Sus scrofa: one gene and its partners. The protein of the gene in region 2 interacts with the protein of the main gene of each other region in a biochemical or structural test. Links are inferred from orthologs where the notes say so. Each region holds a gene or a part of one and is shown on either strand. Other genes may lie near its edges.

Region 1 (4,913 bases), on a different chromosome or scaffold from region 2:
TGATTAGGAAAGGACTCTGCACAGAAAAAGCAAATTCCTAATGAACTGATTCAGGGAGTGAAAAAAAATTTTTTTCTCCCAAAACACTTAAATCCTCTGGAAGCATTAAATTTTTGAAAACATCCCTATTCAAATATTACTATTTCAATCAAGAAATCCTCCATAAACCCAACAATGTAAACCAACATTTATTAAATGCTAATAATGTGTGACATGGATTTAATTCTTATATTAAATATCATTAATCTGAAGATAAAAAGCTATAATCTGTACCCAGGATTCTAATTCCAATAATATTTACACTTGGATCCTACTTAAGAAAGGAACGTCACATTAAGAGGGCTTGGTATTTTACCCGACAGAGATTTAGAAGGTCAAATAAGTCTACAGAAGCTACAGAAAGTTAGCAGATCTAAATGAGCTTCAGACTAGTAAACATTCTTATCAAATTAAAAAGAAAAAAAAACCTCTAAACTGGATTGTCATAAAACTAGTTTTTTGGTTTTTGTTTTTTTTTTTGTCTTTTTGCCATTTCTTGGGCTGCTTCCGCAGCATATGGAGGTTCCCAGGCTAGGGGTCCAATCAGAGCTGTAGCCCCTGGCCTATGCCAGAGCCACAGCAATGCAGATTCCGAGCCACGTCTGCAACCTGCACTACAGCTCACAGCAATGCCGGATCCTTAACCCACTGAGCAAGGCCAGGGATCGAACCCACAACTTCATGGTTCCTAGTCAGATTTGTTAACCACTGAGCCACGATGGGAACTCCAAAACTAGTTCTTTTCAGAGTCTATCTTAGGTTCTAATTTATCTTCTTTGGAAGGGCTGAAGGACATGACAGGCAATTCTGAACACTTCATAGAGACCTTTACTGGCACACTTACCAGCAGATACAACAGCAATCAGATGTAGGACACAAGTGATGCTGTGGGGCATTACTTTCTCTCCATTGCATTCTAGGACTGCATTTCTTTTAGGCCTCAACTAATTTAATTTCGCTTTTGGCTCCTTAGCCTCTGAATTCACGTTAATTCTCAGCTGTATACTTTGAAGCATTTTGATCTTGAAAAGAATGAAAATATTCAAGATTCAATGAAAGTCTTTTTCTTTTTTTTTAAAGTTTATGTAGTCTTTGAACCTAGCTAATGTAACTGGTAAATCATGCCCTCTATGGCCTTTCTGAAATCAAGATCATTTAAAGTTGAATATATTTCTGAAATAGATTTGCTTATGAGTAAGACAGACTAGAATTCTAAAATTATTAATAACATTATTTAAGAAAAATAGGATGTAATGAAAAGAGCTGCAGCAACTGAAGTTAAATTCTCAGTCTACAATCTCAAGTCTGACTCTTTAGTTGAATGACCTTAGGAATTGGCTTTACCAGAAATACTTTCTCATCTGAAAGATCTCACAGCCCTTCCCTCCCACCAGCTGACTATTCAAATAAAATGAGATAATATATCTAGCACAGTACCTGCCACGCAGCATTCAGTATTAGTTTTTTTCCTTCGTTCAACACAAAAGACACTCACAAGATTTAGGTATAAGGGAGTCCACACCTGCACAAGTCTTCATCAGCACAAGACAGCTAGTTAGTACTAATTTAAAAAAAAAAAAAAAACGAAAAAAAAACACCGTCACCTCCACTCCACAAACGTTTCTGAGGGATCTGCATCAAGACGAGGGAACCAGCATGTGACACTGCAAGAACTCCACCAGGACTGCATACATATTGACCACTAAAGCATTGACAGTAAAAGTCCACAATAATTGTGCTAAAACGTCTGGATGCCTTTATGCTGGTAATAGAGTTCAAGCGAGATAAAGGAAAAAGAAGCCAATTTAGGCCCAACTCCAAATGACTCCTTAATAAATCAAGAGAGGGATGCTGGTTTATCTTTCCTAAAACGCGGACAGTACGATATTAAAACCCATTTAAAAACTTCATCAAGAATGAAATATGCCAAAACAAACATTGACGCCACTAATGCTTTTTCAAAAGCCTGCGCAGGAGAGCACCGCTGGCACCACCGAAGGTATCTGATGAAAGCCGTGCGTGGAAAACGCAGGCGAGGGAAGGAAAATAACAGACGGTCATTTCGGGGCGGGGCACACACGCCGCGGCCGCCGCCGCCAGCATCTGAAGGAATTCGCGGCTTCCCACCCCGGCGCGAAGAGCAGGCCGCGCGGCGCACACCCAGGCCGGGGAGGGGGGCGGGGGGGGCGGAGGGGGCCTAGGTTCCCGGGCCGGGGTCCTGGATCCAGTGTCCACCCCCCGCCCCCTCCCCGCGCCGAGCAACGCCCCAGCCCGACCAGCCCCGCCCCGACCGAGGCCCCGCTGCGGTTGGCGGCGCAGCGGGCCTGGGTCGGAGGTCGGAGGTCCGGGTTGGGGTAGGGGCTGGGTCCGCGTCCGGGGTCGGGGTCAGGGTCGGGGTCCGGAGAGCAAGCGGGGCAGCAGCGGTGAGCCCGGCTGGGGGGGAGGGGAGGGCGGCGGGCGCGGCCAGGCCGCGGGGCATGGACACTCACCACACCATGCCGTAGGCGCCCTCGCCGATGTAGGAGAGGTTGGTGTAGCGCGGCCCCACGTCGAACACCTGCCCGCGGACCATCTCGGGGCCCGCGCCCGCCGCCGCCGCCGCCATGTTGGCTGCCGGGCCGCCGCCGCCGCCGCCGCACTGGGCTCGATGCTCCGCGGCCGCTGCTCGGCCCACGCTGCACCAACGGGGAGACCGCGCCCCAGCCGCTGCAGCCGCCGCCGCTGGCCGGGAAGAATCAGTGAGGGACCCGCTCGGGAGAGGTAGATAGCCACCGACCGCTCGTACCGACTGCCCGCCTGACTGACTGACGGGCGGGCCGGCGGGCGGAGGGAGGGGCGCGCGCCGAGGAGGGCGCCGGGGCAGGGCCGTAGGCGTGAGCGCGGATTGGCTCCCGCGGCCTGGGGGCAGGGCTGCGCGGCCGGCGGAAGAGGCGCGTTGGGGGCGGAGCACTGCAGCGGCGGGGCGGGGCGCGGTCACGTGCGCTCGCGGGAGGCGGCGGGGAAACGCTGAGGACTCCGAGGCGGGGCGAGCTTGCGGGGCCGAACGGGCGGGGCAGCGGGCCGAGAGAAGCTCCGGGCGGCTCCCTCCGAGTAGGAGCGCGACCGGGGCGGATTCCCCCCGCCCCCGCGCGCCGAGCCAGGTTTGTGAGAGTCCGGGGCCCATACAGATTAGAGGCCTCGAGACCCGCACAGAAGCCGGAAGGGTGACCGAGACCGAGAGAGATATTTGCATCCTGAGAAAGTGTGAAACCCAGAGTGGGAGGCGGAGACAAGAAGCCCGGACGCGGCCCGCTCCGGCAGAGGCTCGTTCAACAAGTGTCACCGCGTTCCTGCGCGTCCACCCTCCTCGAAGCTACCCTCCAGGAGATGATGGATGGACGGTCGATGGATCTGAAGGAAGACTCAAGTTGTCTGCGAAGTACTGCGAAGAAAAGGAGAGCAGAGTAAGGGGTTCGGGAGTAGTGGGTTGAGACCCTGAGAAAAACACTGAGATTCAGAGACTGGCACCCAAGTTGGTACAGATGGGCAGGATCTTACCCAGGTAGAAACGCGAAAAAAACAAGTATTAACATCTAGAGAAAACGAGTTAGACGCACTGAGGTTCAGAGATTGTCACAAAAATGGAAAAGAATGTATATATGTATAACTGAATCACTTTGCTGTATAGCAGAAATGAACACAACATAAATCAACTGTAACTTTAATAGTCACAAACACCAGAGGTTGAAAATAAAAGGCAGAATCTTGAAGCAGGTGAATTCGATAAACAGCTAAGACAATGAGACAGAAGATGATCCAGCCCTTGCTTCTGAGCCACTTCATTGGAGTCACCTGCGTCGTCTTGGAAAGGGGACTAAGGGTGGGAAATTCTGCGTCCTGATTGTCTGACACTGTGATCCAGAAAGCCTGGACTTCCAGTCATCAACAAAGATCAACTAGACAGTCTTGAAGATGAATAAGCAAAAGAGAAAAAAATCCTCTGGGGAAAAAAAAAAACATGTGGCATATGAGAAAATAAATAAAGGGCTACAGCCAAAAAGTACTCTTTTGAAATATGTTTAGTCCATAAAGTAGAACCCAACACCTGATTCTTATTCCTTTTTTTTTTTTTTTTTTTTTTTTGTCTTTTTGCCTTTTCTAGGGCCACTTCCCACGGCATGTGGAGGTTCCCAGGCTAGGGGTCTAATCAGAGCTGTAGCCACCGGCCTATGCCAAAGCCACAGCAATGCAGGATCCTTAACCCACTGAGCAAGGCCAGGGATCAAACCCTCAACCTCAGGGTTCCTAGTCAGATTTGTTAACCACTGAGCCATGACAGGAACTCCCTGATTCTTGATTAAAAGAAGAACTTGCATCTTTTAAAGGACAGGCCAAGATAAATAGAGGGTACCATGAAATTAAAACCACAATAGCCAAAGTAAAAGCAATGGTTGGAGCTGTAATAAGCAGACTTAACAGTGTAGAAGAGCAAGTCAGCAGGATAGGAGACGACTATGAGAAAAAGCTGGTGATGAAATTCTTTAAGAAGAAAATGTACAAGAGAACAAACACCACAAAGTCAAACTACAGGCACCCCCTCCCCAAAGAAGACAGAGCAAATCACTTAGAGGCAATAACTTACAGTAAAAGAAAACCTGCCTTAATGTCTAAAAAGATCTGTGGTGTTGGAGTTCCCTGGTAGCCTAGCAGTTAAGGACCTGGCATTGTCACTGCTGCAGCTCAGGTCACTGCTGCAGCAAAGGTTTAATCTCTGGCCTGGGAGCTTTTGTATGCTGCGGGTGCAACCAAAAGGATCTAGGATGGACATGGAAAATTGAGTTCTCTGAATCCAGAAAAAATAAATAAGCAGAAAACTTCAAGACATGATCTGGAAA
Region 2 (4,457 bases):
CAGACTTAACAGTGGATATCTCATTTTTGTGGTGCTGTAGAGCCAAACTGGCTGTAAAGAGGGTCTGGGCATACATTGCTAAATTCACAGAGTTCTGAGTCTCCTAGAAAAAGGATCCATATTGTTTAGAATTTATACATTTTCTTTTTTAAAAAAAACCTAAATCCCTACTCTGGAAACAAAACATACTCATTTTACATTTTAAATGTTTTAATCATATTATTAGAATCAGCGTGACTTTTTGAAGAAATTATAACAAAAAGATTGCTTTGGGAGTTCCTTTTGTGGCTCAGTGTGCTACGAACCTGACTAGTATCCATGAAAATGCGGGTTCGATCCCTGGGTTTGCTCCCTGGGTTAAGGATCTGATGTTGCCATGAGTTGTGTTTACGTCTCAGATGAGGCTCGGATCGTGGGTTGCTGTGGCTGTGGCCGGCAGCTGCAGCTCCAATTTGACCCCGAGCTTGGGAACTTCCATATGCTGCAGGTGTGGCCCTAAAAAGCCAAAAAAAAAAAAAAAAAAAGATTGCTTTGAACTAGCAGCATCGTGGTTGTATGCTCGAAAGATGAGTTGCAGTTTTTTGCCTTAGTAATAAATGAATTTTGAGAGCCGGAGATAGAATGTGGACCAGAGACTGGGCACACAGACTTTTTAAACCATGTTTTTAGCAGTTACATACAGGCAAAACAGAGTATTGGAGTTAAATGAGATAAAAAGACTTGTGATAAAAGAGTTCATTTTTCTGTTTTTGCATTTTTTCTTTTTTCCTTTTTTTTTTTTTTTTTTGTCTTTTGTCCTTTTAGGGCCACACCTGTGGCATATGGAGGTTCCCAGGCTAGGGGTCCCATCGGAGCTGTAGCCACCTGCCTACACCTGAGTCACAGCAACGTCGGAGCTGAGCCGTGTCTGCAACCTACACCTCAGCTCACCACAACACCAGATCCTTAACCCACTCAACGAGGCAGAGATCGAACCCACAACCTCATGGTTCCTAGTCGGATTCATTTCTGCTGCGCCATGACGGGGAACTCCCCTGTTTTGCATTTTCTAATACTATTAAGAAACATAAAGACTTTAAAACTGTACTTCACATATTATACTGAGTTATCAAGCATTTAAATATTTTTATTTTGAGCATTATATGATCTCAGGCTATAATATCAAAGTCTTCTGTTCAAATTGCTAGTATCAAGACAGATTGTAAAGTCATTTTAAGAAAAAATGAATCCCCTGTTTAGAAAGATCTTACAAATTTGCATTATGTCAGAGGATAACCGAGGAAAAGTTTTTAAGCTCATTAATTTTCTAACAGTGTCTTTGACTCTTAACCTCACAAAATCTTGGCTCTGCCCCTGAAAAGAAATAGCAGTAGCCTTGGATAGGCAATGTCTTGGTGTAACAAATAAGAAGCAGGTGGCATTTCCAGTGATCCAGGATTGTGTTTTATGTTGGATTATTTGCCCAGGTTTTTACCCTTTACTGTGCAACCAAACCAGGTCCCAGACTTCTGATGGTAAAAGAAACCTGGAGCTTCAGAATCAAACTTATTAGAAGAAATATCTTTTTTTTATCTTTTGCCTTAAAAATGTAAACTTTTTATATGTATTATTTGGGATAGGAAGATCAGTGAGGACCAGTTAGTGATGGAAAGTAGAGGATAACCTGTCAAGTTGCTGTAGCATTTCACCACACTCATCATGTATTCACTTATATCTTTTAATATTTAGAAAATTCCTAATATCTGATGACGGACTGGAAGTTACAAGGAAATGCAAGAATTCCTTTTTGTTGAATTTCATCTTAACAAATCAGAAAATGTTTATAAATCACAAAAGTAAAAAAAAGAGTTAACAGTCTACCAAACTAGAAAGTTTTGGCTCGATTACCTATTGTTACTTGAAGATTAGGTTTTCCTATTTTAAAAAAAGGGAGCTTGAGTTATTTACAATTCAATAGGCTGAACGAAAAAATCCTTGTTGCTACTCAACCCTAGAAAATTTAAATGAACCTCTTATTATTAGCTCCTATTTCAGTAAATTGAAATGACCAATGTGCACAACATCATGTTGTTATTTATCATAGCTAATGTGTTTTTTTAACACAGCTACAGAAAGATCTAGAAGAGGTGAAGGTGCTTCTGGAAAAGGCTACTAGAAAAAGAGTACGTGATACCCTGACCACTGAAAAGTCCAAGATTGAGACAGAAATCAAGAACAAGATGCAGCAGAAATCACAGAGGAAAGCAGAACTTCTGGAAAATGAAAAGCCGGCGGCTGTGGTTGCTCCTATTACAACAGGATATACAGTAAAAATCAGTAATTATGGTATGACTTGCGCCCCCCCCCATCTAGTTCTTTCTGCCTCTGAGCAGCCTGTTCCTCAGTAGTGACCCACTAACAAAATCAGATTTTTTATTATCTTTGTCTTTCTTTTTTCTTTTTTTTTTTTTTTTTTTTCTTTTTTTAAGGGCTGCACATGCACATATGGAGGTTCCTAGGCTAGGGGTCAGATCAGAGCTATAGCCACTGGCCTATGCCACAGCAACTCCAGATCCAAGCTACACCACAGCTCACAGCAATGCCAGATTCTTAACCCACTGACTAAGGCCAGGGATCAAACCTGCGTCCTCATGGACGATAGTCAGATTTGTTTTCCACTGAGCCACCACGGGAACTCCCCAAATCAATTTTTAAAACAGTGTATAAAGTATTTGGTTTTGGTGATTTATAAGAGAACACCTGTCAATTCTTACTTAATAGATGCTTTTTAAGAGATTAGAAGAAGGGATGAATTTCTGGAAGCTAATTAACAAGAGGGCAAGATGATTAGTACAGTGATGAGTAGCAACAGAAGGAACCTATTCTGAAATACATTAATTATACATGGAACACAGCTTTTGTTTTGGTTTTCTTCCTTTTTTGGTTTTCACTTGGCCAACTATCCACCCATATTAACTGAAGAAGGGAAACCAGTTAAATTCAAGAAACATTTTTGAGCATCTAATATGGGCCTTTATTGTACTTGGACTTGTGAGTACACAGCAGTGACCAAGACCCAATCCTGCTCATGGTGTGGTTGGAACACATACAGCTAATACCATAACAATGTCATAATACCATTTTCCCTCAACTGATTATAGACATTTTATTTTGGAAATAGTGTAACTTGGAATCTGAGTAATGGGCTCTCATAAGGAGAGGGACAGTCTTTATGCTCACAGTATGTAGCACATAGTAAGTACTTAATATTTGCTTAACTGAATAGATTTATAAAGTACTATGGGAATATAGCTGTTAAAATAATTCCCCTGGGGGGGAGGAAAAGTCAGGAAGAATTGGAAGAAACATTTGAGTTTAAAGAGTGAGTTCTGGAGGTTCCATTGTGGCTCAGTGGGTTACAAACCTAATATCCGTGAAGATGCGGGTTCAGTCCCTGGCGTCTCTTGGTGGGTTAGCTGCAGCTCTGATTCGACTCCTAGCCCAGGAACTTCCATATGCTGCAGATGTGGCCCAAAAAAGCAAAAAATAGGAAAAAAAAAAAAAATGAGTTCAGCAAATGTAAAAAAGGAAGGCAAAGGACATGAAAGGCATCATGTGTTTTGAGTATCGTCATAGCAAAAAGCAATGTGTGTTTCATGTTTCAGTGATGCACTGCAGTACTGTAGGAGATATGCTGTGCATGTCGTTAACTGTAGGAAACTAAGGTGGTAGGATTATGGAGTATTAACTAGGAACCTAGATTTGTGTTTAGGGAGAAATTTGGCAATGTGGAGGATGGATTGAATGAATGGGGAGAAACAAAATGAAGTTCTATAGAACCATTTAGGAGATCTTTTTTCATTAACACTGAATTTTTGTTCTATAGAATTAGGTGAGGAAAAGTCATATAGTACACAGTAAATACATGTATATTTTTATCATTTGCTTCTTGTGTGATGTTTGCATGTTTTCTTTGAAAGAATTCATCTAGGTTGGAGACTGAATAATTTGATAATATATACTGAAATAGCCTTTTCTGGATATGTGTAGGTTAGTCAAATTGGCAGACTTGGATGAATTGGACTCCTTTTTTTCTTCCCCCTTTCTTTTTAGGGCGGCACCACAGCATATGGAGGTTCCCAGGCTAGGTGTCCAATCAGAGCTGTAGCTGCCAACCTACACCATGGCCATAGTAATGCAGGATCCGAGCCGCATCTGCGATCTACACCACAGCTCACGGTAACACTGGATCCATAACCCATTGAGTGAGGCCAGGGATTGAACCTGCGTCCTCATGGATGCTAGTCAGACTCGCTAACCACTGAGCCACAAGGGGAACTTCCCCTGGACTCTAAAAATTTATATTCATTCTACTTTGTCAGGGAAAGGAATTGAGGAAGCTAGGATTGCATTTTTTTGATTTGCTTAGAGAAGTAAAAATGCTTATGGAATTAGACAGTATTGATATTTAGCCAGTC
Region 3 (4,175 bases), on a different chromosome or scaffold from region 2:
TCTCTGTCTGAGGCCCCCAGAACCTACAGAGGAAATTGCCTGGCACAGACTAGGTCTGCATGGGAGAGCATTGCCACAACTGCCCCATCGCCCTGAAACCCTCTTGCCCCGATCCCCCTCCCTCCCCACCATCCCCTCCTCCCCCGCCACCCCCTTCTTCCCCCCACCGCCTGAAAACACTAATGCAAACAATGAACTCAGATAATTTCAATTCATCATCTACCAGTGGCTCCATGGAATAACTGGGGTGATCCATTCTGCTAAGGCGCTAGGAATGGGCTGGCTCAATATTGACAGAAAGGCTGGGCTGTGGCTGCCCAGTCCCGGGGACCCCCATCCCACCCCTTTCATGAGCATCTCATGATTCATGTATCCACACAGCTGCCAGCTTCTCAGACCACAACTCTGAGAACAAAGGGCCCTAAGGTGTGCCTCCCACCTTCAACCGGGGCAGGGGCAGCAGAATTGACCTTGACCGTACAGCATCCACAGCAGTCCCCAGCCAGGCTGTGAGCATGCCAGATGTGCCTTCTCTGCCCCCACTTCCCTGTAGTGAGAGAGTGGACCAGCCCCGCCCCACAGCCCTGCTGGACCTTCCCCTTTGACCACACCCAGAGCAAAAACTTGTCTTTGTCGTCTGCAAGGACCCAGCTAGGACTATCTCTGTTCCACTCTGGACTCATCACAGCCTGGCTTAAGCACCATTTCCTTCTCCAAGCCCACCCCAGAACGCCCTGTGCTGGGGACCGCTTGAGCCTTTCCTTAAGATGGCTTTGCCCAGAGCTTACATCTTTTCTGATTCACATAAAAGCAGTTTAGGAGCTGTAACTGCCTTGTTAGGGCGCATCCATCATCTTGTGGACCCTCCCACCAGCTCCCCTGACCTGGTGAGTCACTGAGTCACTCCCAGAGGGGACTGCGAGAAAACCCTCTGATGGCTGATGCAGCGGCAAGCAGAGGAGGAAACAAATCACAGGGAAGCCAGGACACAGGGGTAGATTTAACAACAAAAAAAATTTATTGTACAGTTACCCACCACTAGATCAACAGGCCAGCTAAAGGGTGTCTCCACCGTCTCAATTTATGTTCAGCCCCGGAGGACATCGTTGTAGATCATAGCCAAGGCCCCCAGGAAGGTGACATATTCTTGGAAGTTCACCACCTGGTCCTTGTTCCGGTCCAGGTCATCCATCAGCTTTGCGATTTCAGCATCCTGCAGCTTCTACCGGGTCAAAATGGGAAATCCAGGACTCAGGGGTGATGAGACCTTGGGTTCTCTGCCTTTCCCCCTCCCAGGCAGCCCTCTCTCAGACAAGTGGCTCTGTGCTCACTTGTCACCAAAACTCTGAGCCCACCTTGAATTCACTTGGCTTGACTTCTCTGCTGCTGACTCAGGAGGAGTGAATACCAGGCTGGGAATATCCCCAGCCCCTCAGGGCCCAGGGGTGTGGACCAATGGTCCGGTAAGGTCTAGGTCCCCGGAATGTGAGTAAGTGTGAGTCACAGGCACCTGGCGCCTGGCCTTCTCCCAATCCTGCTTCTAAGGGGGGGGGGGGCAGGGGAGACTCACTCACCGCCCCAATGGTGAGTTCCTTCTGGATCAGCTCCTTCAGCTCACTCTTGCTCAGGGTGTTTTTGTCACCCTCCCGGCCGGAGTACTTGTGGAAGATGGCCACCAGGAGGCCAATAGCCTGATCCAGAGGGCATGCCATGGCTGAAGGCTGAGTTCAAGGCTGGGGGCAGAGGGGCTGGTCAGTGTCCTGGGCCACACGGAGGTCTCACTCCTCTCACTCACCGCAAGCCCCAAGACCTCTGCCCCCCACCCACCCACCCCCATCCCCACCACCACCCACCCCCGACCCCAACTCCCTTTGACGACCCTGCCCGGACCACCAAGTAAGTGTCAGGTGACCTCAGGAGACAGCTCGAGGCTTGAAGGGGAGGAAGAGGGCAGACTCTAGAGCCTAGAGATCTGTGGCCTCCAGGGAACCAGAGACGAGGTGGCTCAAGGATTCTAAGCAGCAGACAGGAACACAGCTGAGAACGCTCCTCCAGGGGTTGCGGGAAAGTTGGGGCGGATGTTGCGGGGCGGGGGTGGAGACGGCGCACCCAGCCCTACACACAGCCTTCCAGGGCCACACACGGCGGCGCTGACACGCCCGCCCGGGACACACCCTCCCGCACCCCAGATGGGCCACTACCCGGAGCCGCCCAACGGACGCCTTAGCCCTGGGCCAGCCTGGCTTCTCCTGCCTCTCCCCGCCCGCCCGGCAGCCCCGCAGCCCCAGGCTGGATGCCGAGCCATCCACCGCCCGCGGACCAAGCCCGGGGCGGGCTGGCTCAGAAGGACCGGGGCTGCCCTGGCCAGGACTCACCACGGCGGCAGCGACGGGAGCAGGGAGCGGCCGAGGGGATGCTGGGCTCTGGGGCCGGCCCGCCCGCCTTATAGAGGCGCGTCCGGGAGGCCGGCTCCCCACCGCCCACGGCCCGCCCCGCGCCCCACCCTGTGCTCGCCGTTACACAACACCAGGGCCCCAAAACTTTCCACGCCTCCTGCCCCGGGGCAGTTCAGGGCTCCGCGGGGTGGGGGGGACCTCGAGGGGGAGGGGGTCCCACCTGCAGCCAGCCGAGTGACCTCGAGCTCCTTCCTAACCCCTGAAACCCAGTTTGCAGCCACCCACCCCCCAGCATCGTGATGTGACAGGCCAGGGCAGGACGCTGTCACTGACGCTGGGGGGGCTGCCGGAAGTGGGTGGAGAAGGGAGAGAAGGGTGCCCCCTTCCCAGGGCGAAACCTAGATGAAGGGTGGGGAGCGGCCGGTGGTCTACAGAATACAGTTTCAAGGACTTCTCCAACACCCATCCGCCAGCGGAAAACGAATTCCTACCACCATCCTGCTCCCTTCCCCAACCCCCTCCCCCACCCCGAATTCCAGAATTGCACACCGGAGCCTCCTGCAGCTTCAGGGGCACACATGCCAGAGCCAAGCCCTGTGTCCCTAGTTATTTACCCTGCAATGCAAAGTTTCTCAGATCCTCAGTGTTTTTTGGTTTTGGGTTTTGTTTTGTTTTGTTTGCTTTTTAGGGCCTCGGGTAGCTGCTGGCCTCTGCCACAGGCACAGCAACGCCAGATCCGAGCAGGGTCTCGACCCACACTACAGCTCATGGCAACACCAGATCCTTGACCCACTGGGGTGAGGCCAGGGAATCGAACCTGCAACCTCATGGTTCCTAGTTAGATTCAATTCCGCTGCAGCACAAGGGGGAACTCCTCTCAGATCCTCTCTGGAGAAAGGCTTTTGATATGGGGAGGTGGGAAAGGCAGAAAGCCTAGAGGTGATTGAGGTGGCATGCGGGGTAGCAGGGCTTGTTGCAGAGAGGGAAACGGAGGAGAGGGAAAGGGGACTGGCCTGGAGGTCAAGGCCACACTCCCCTTTCTTACCAGCGTCCTCAGGGTGGCCTCCTGTGAGCTGGTGACAAGTCAGACTGGCCTGTCCACCACTGCCCCCAGGAACCACATCCCGGCTGCCTCCAGTGTCCTCACCCTCTAAGCACTTTCTCCTTAACTTTCTCTGCATAGCCGAAGCACACCTCGGAAGCCATCAAAAGCCTGGCCCAACTTCCCCATTTTCCAGGAGGGCCATGCTAAGCCCAGACACACTTAGTCACATCCACACCAAAGGACAGGAAGTGGAGAGGGAGCCCAGAACCCTAGCCCCCAGAAGCTCTCCACTCACTGAAGGGGAATCGCTGCCCTGCCCACCGCACCCCCAGCCAAGATGGACAAGACATCTTCCAAACCAGCCACGGACCCCTGGAAAGGAAAATCTTTATTTCCTCTGCGGGAATGGAAGGCTAAAGCAGCATCCTTCTGGAAGGGTGTGTGATAGGAGCTGCAGAGGCCAGGGCCTGGGCCCCGTCACTGGTTGTCCTCCAGGAAGAAGTCGTTGTAGGCCATGCAGAGCGTGGTCAGGAACACCGAGTACTCCTTGAAGTCGATCTCCTGGTCGCTGTTCTTATCCAAACTCTTCATCAGGTCGTCCACACTGCTCTCCTTCATCTTCTTCCAGGGCCCAGGTAGAGACACAGGTCAGCCCTGCCCCCTCCCAGCCTCAGGCTGAGCCCCAGCGGAGTCAGCTTCTGGGCCCTCAGAATCCCCCCGCCCCCAGGCCACAC

What was found.
Region 1: of the proteins of CACYBP (region 2) and MAPK1, one has a biochemical effect on the other in vitro, tested with the Homo sapiens proteins (2 studies listed by BioGRID). The link is inferred for Sus scrofa from reciprocal best matches to the Homo sapiens genes CACYBP and MAPK1.
Region 3: the proteins of CACYBP (region 2) and S100A6 are reported together in a solved structure, tested with the Homo sapiens proteins (2 studies listed by BioGRID and IntAct, with this or other methods). The link is inferred for Sus scrofa from reciprocal best matches to the Homo sapiens genes CACYBP and S100A6.

The regions. Positions count from the first base shown.
Region 1 is NC_010456.5:50,081,461-50,086,373, reverse strand, and holds the start of MAPK1 (mitogen-activated protein kinase 1), read right to left. Parts: upstream 3,296-4,913; 5' UTR 3,272-3,295; coding exon 2,529-3,271; intron 1-2,528. UniProt on the Homo sapiens protein: Serine/threonine kinase which acts as an essential component of the MAP kinase signal transduction pathway. MAPK1/ERK2 and MAPK3/ERK1 are the 2 MAPKs which play an important role in the MAPK/ERK cascade.
Region 2 is NC_010451.4:117,066,613-117,071,069, forward strand, and holds part of CACYBP (calcyclin-binding protein), read left to right. Parts: intron 1-2,105; coding exon 2,106-2,325; intron 2,326-4,457. UniProt on the Homo sapiens protein: May be involved in calcium-dependent ubiquitination and subsequent proteasomal degradation of target proteins. Probably serves as a molecular bridge in ubiquitin E3 complexes. Participates in the ubiquitin-mediated degradation of beta-catenin (CTNNB1).
Region 3 is NC_010446.5:96,096,507-96,100,681, reverse strand, and holds S100A6 (protein S100-A6), read right to left. Parts: upstream 2,412-4,175; 5' UTR 2,376-2,411; intron 2,015-2,375; 5' UTR 1,913-2,014; exon of another isoform or gene 1,891-1,912; intron 1,734-1,890; 5' UTR 1,713-1,733; coding exon 1,575-1,712; intron 1,223-1,574; coding exon 1,088-1,222; 3' UTR 996-1,087; downstream 1-995. Other genes in the region: S100A5 (protein S100-A5), read right to left, coding at 3,919-4,062. UniProt on the Homo sapiens protein: May function as calcium sensor and modulator, contributing to cellular calcium signaling.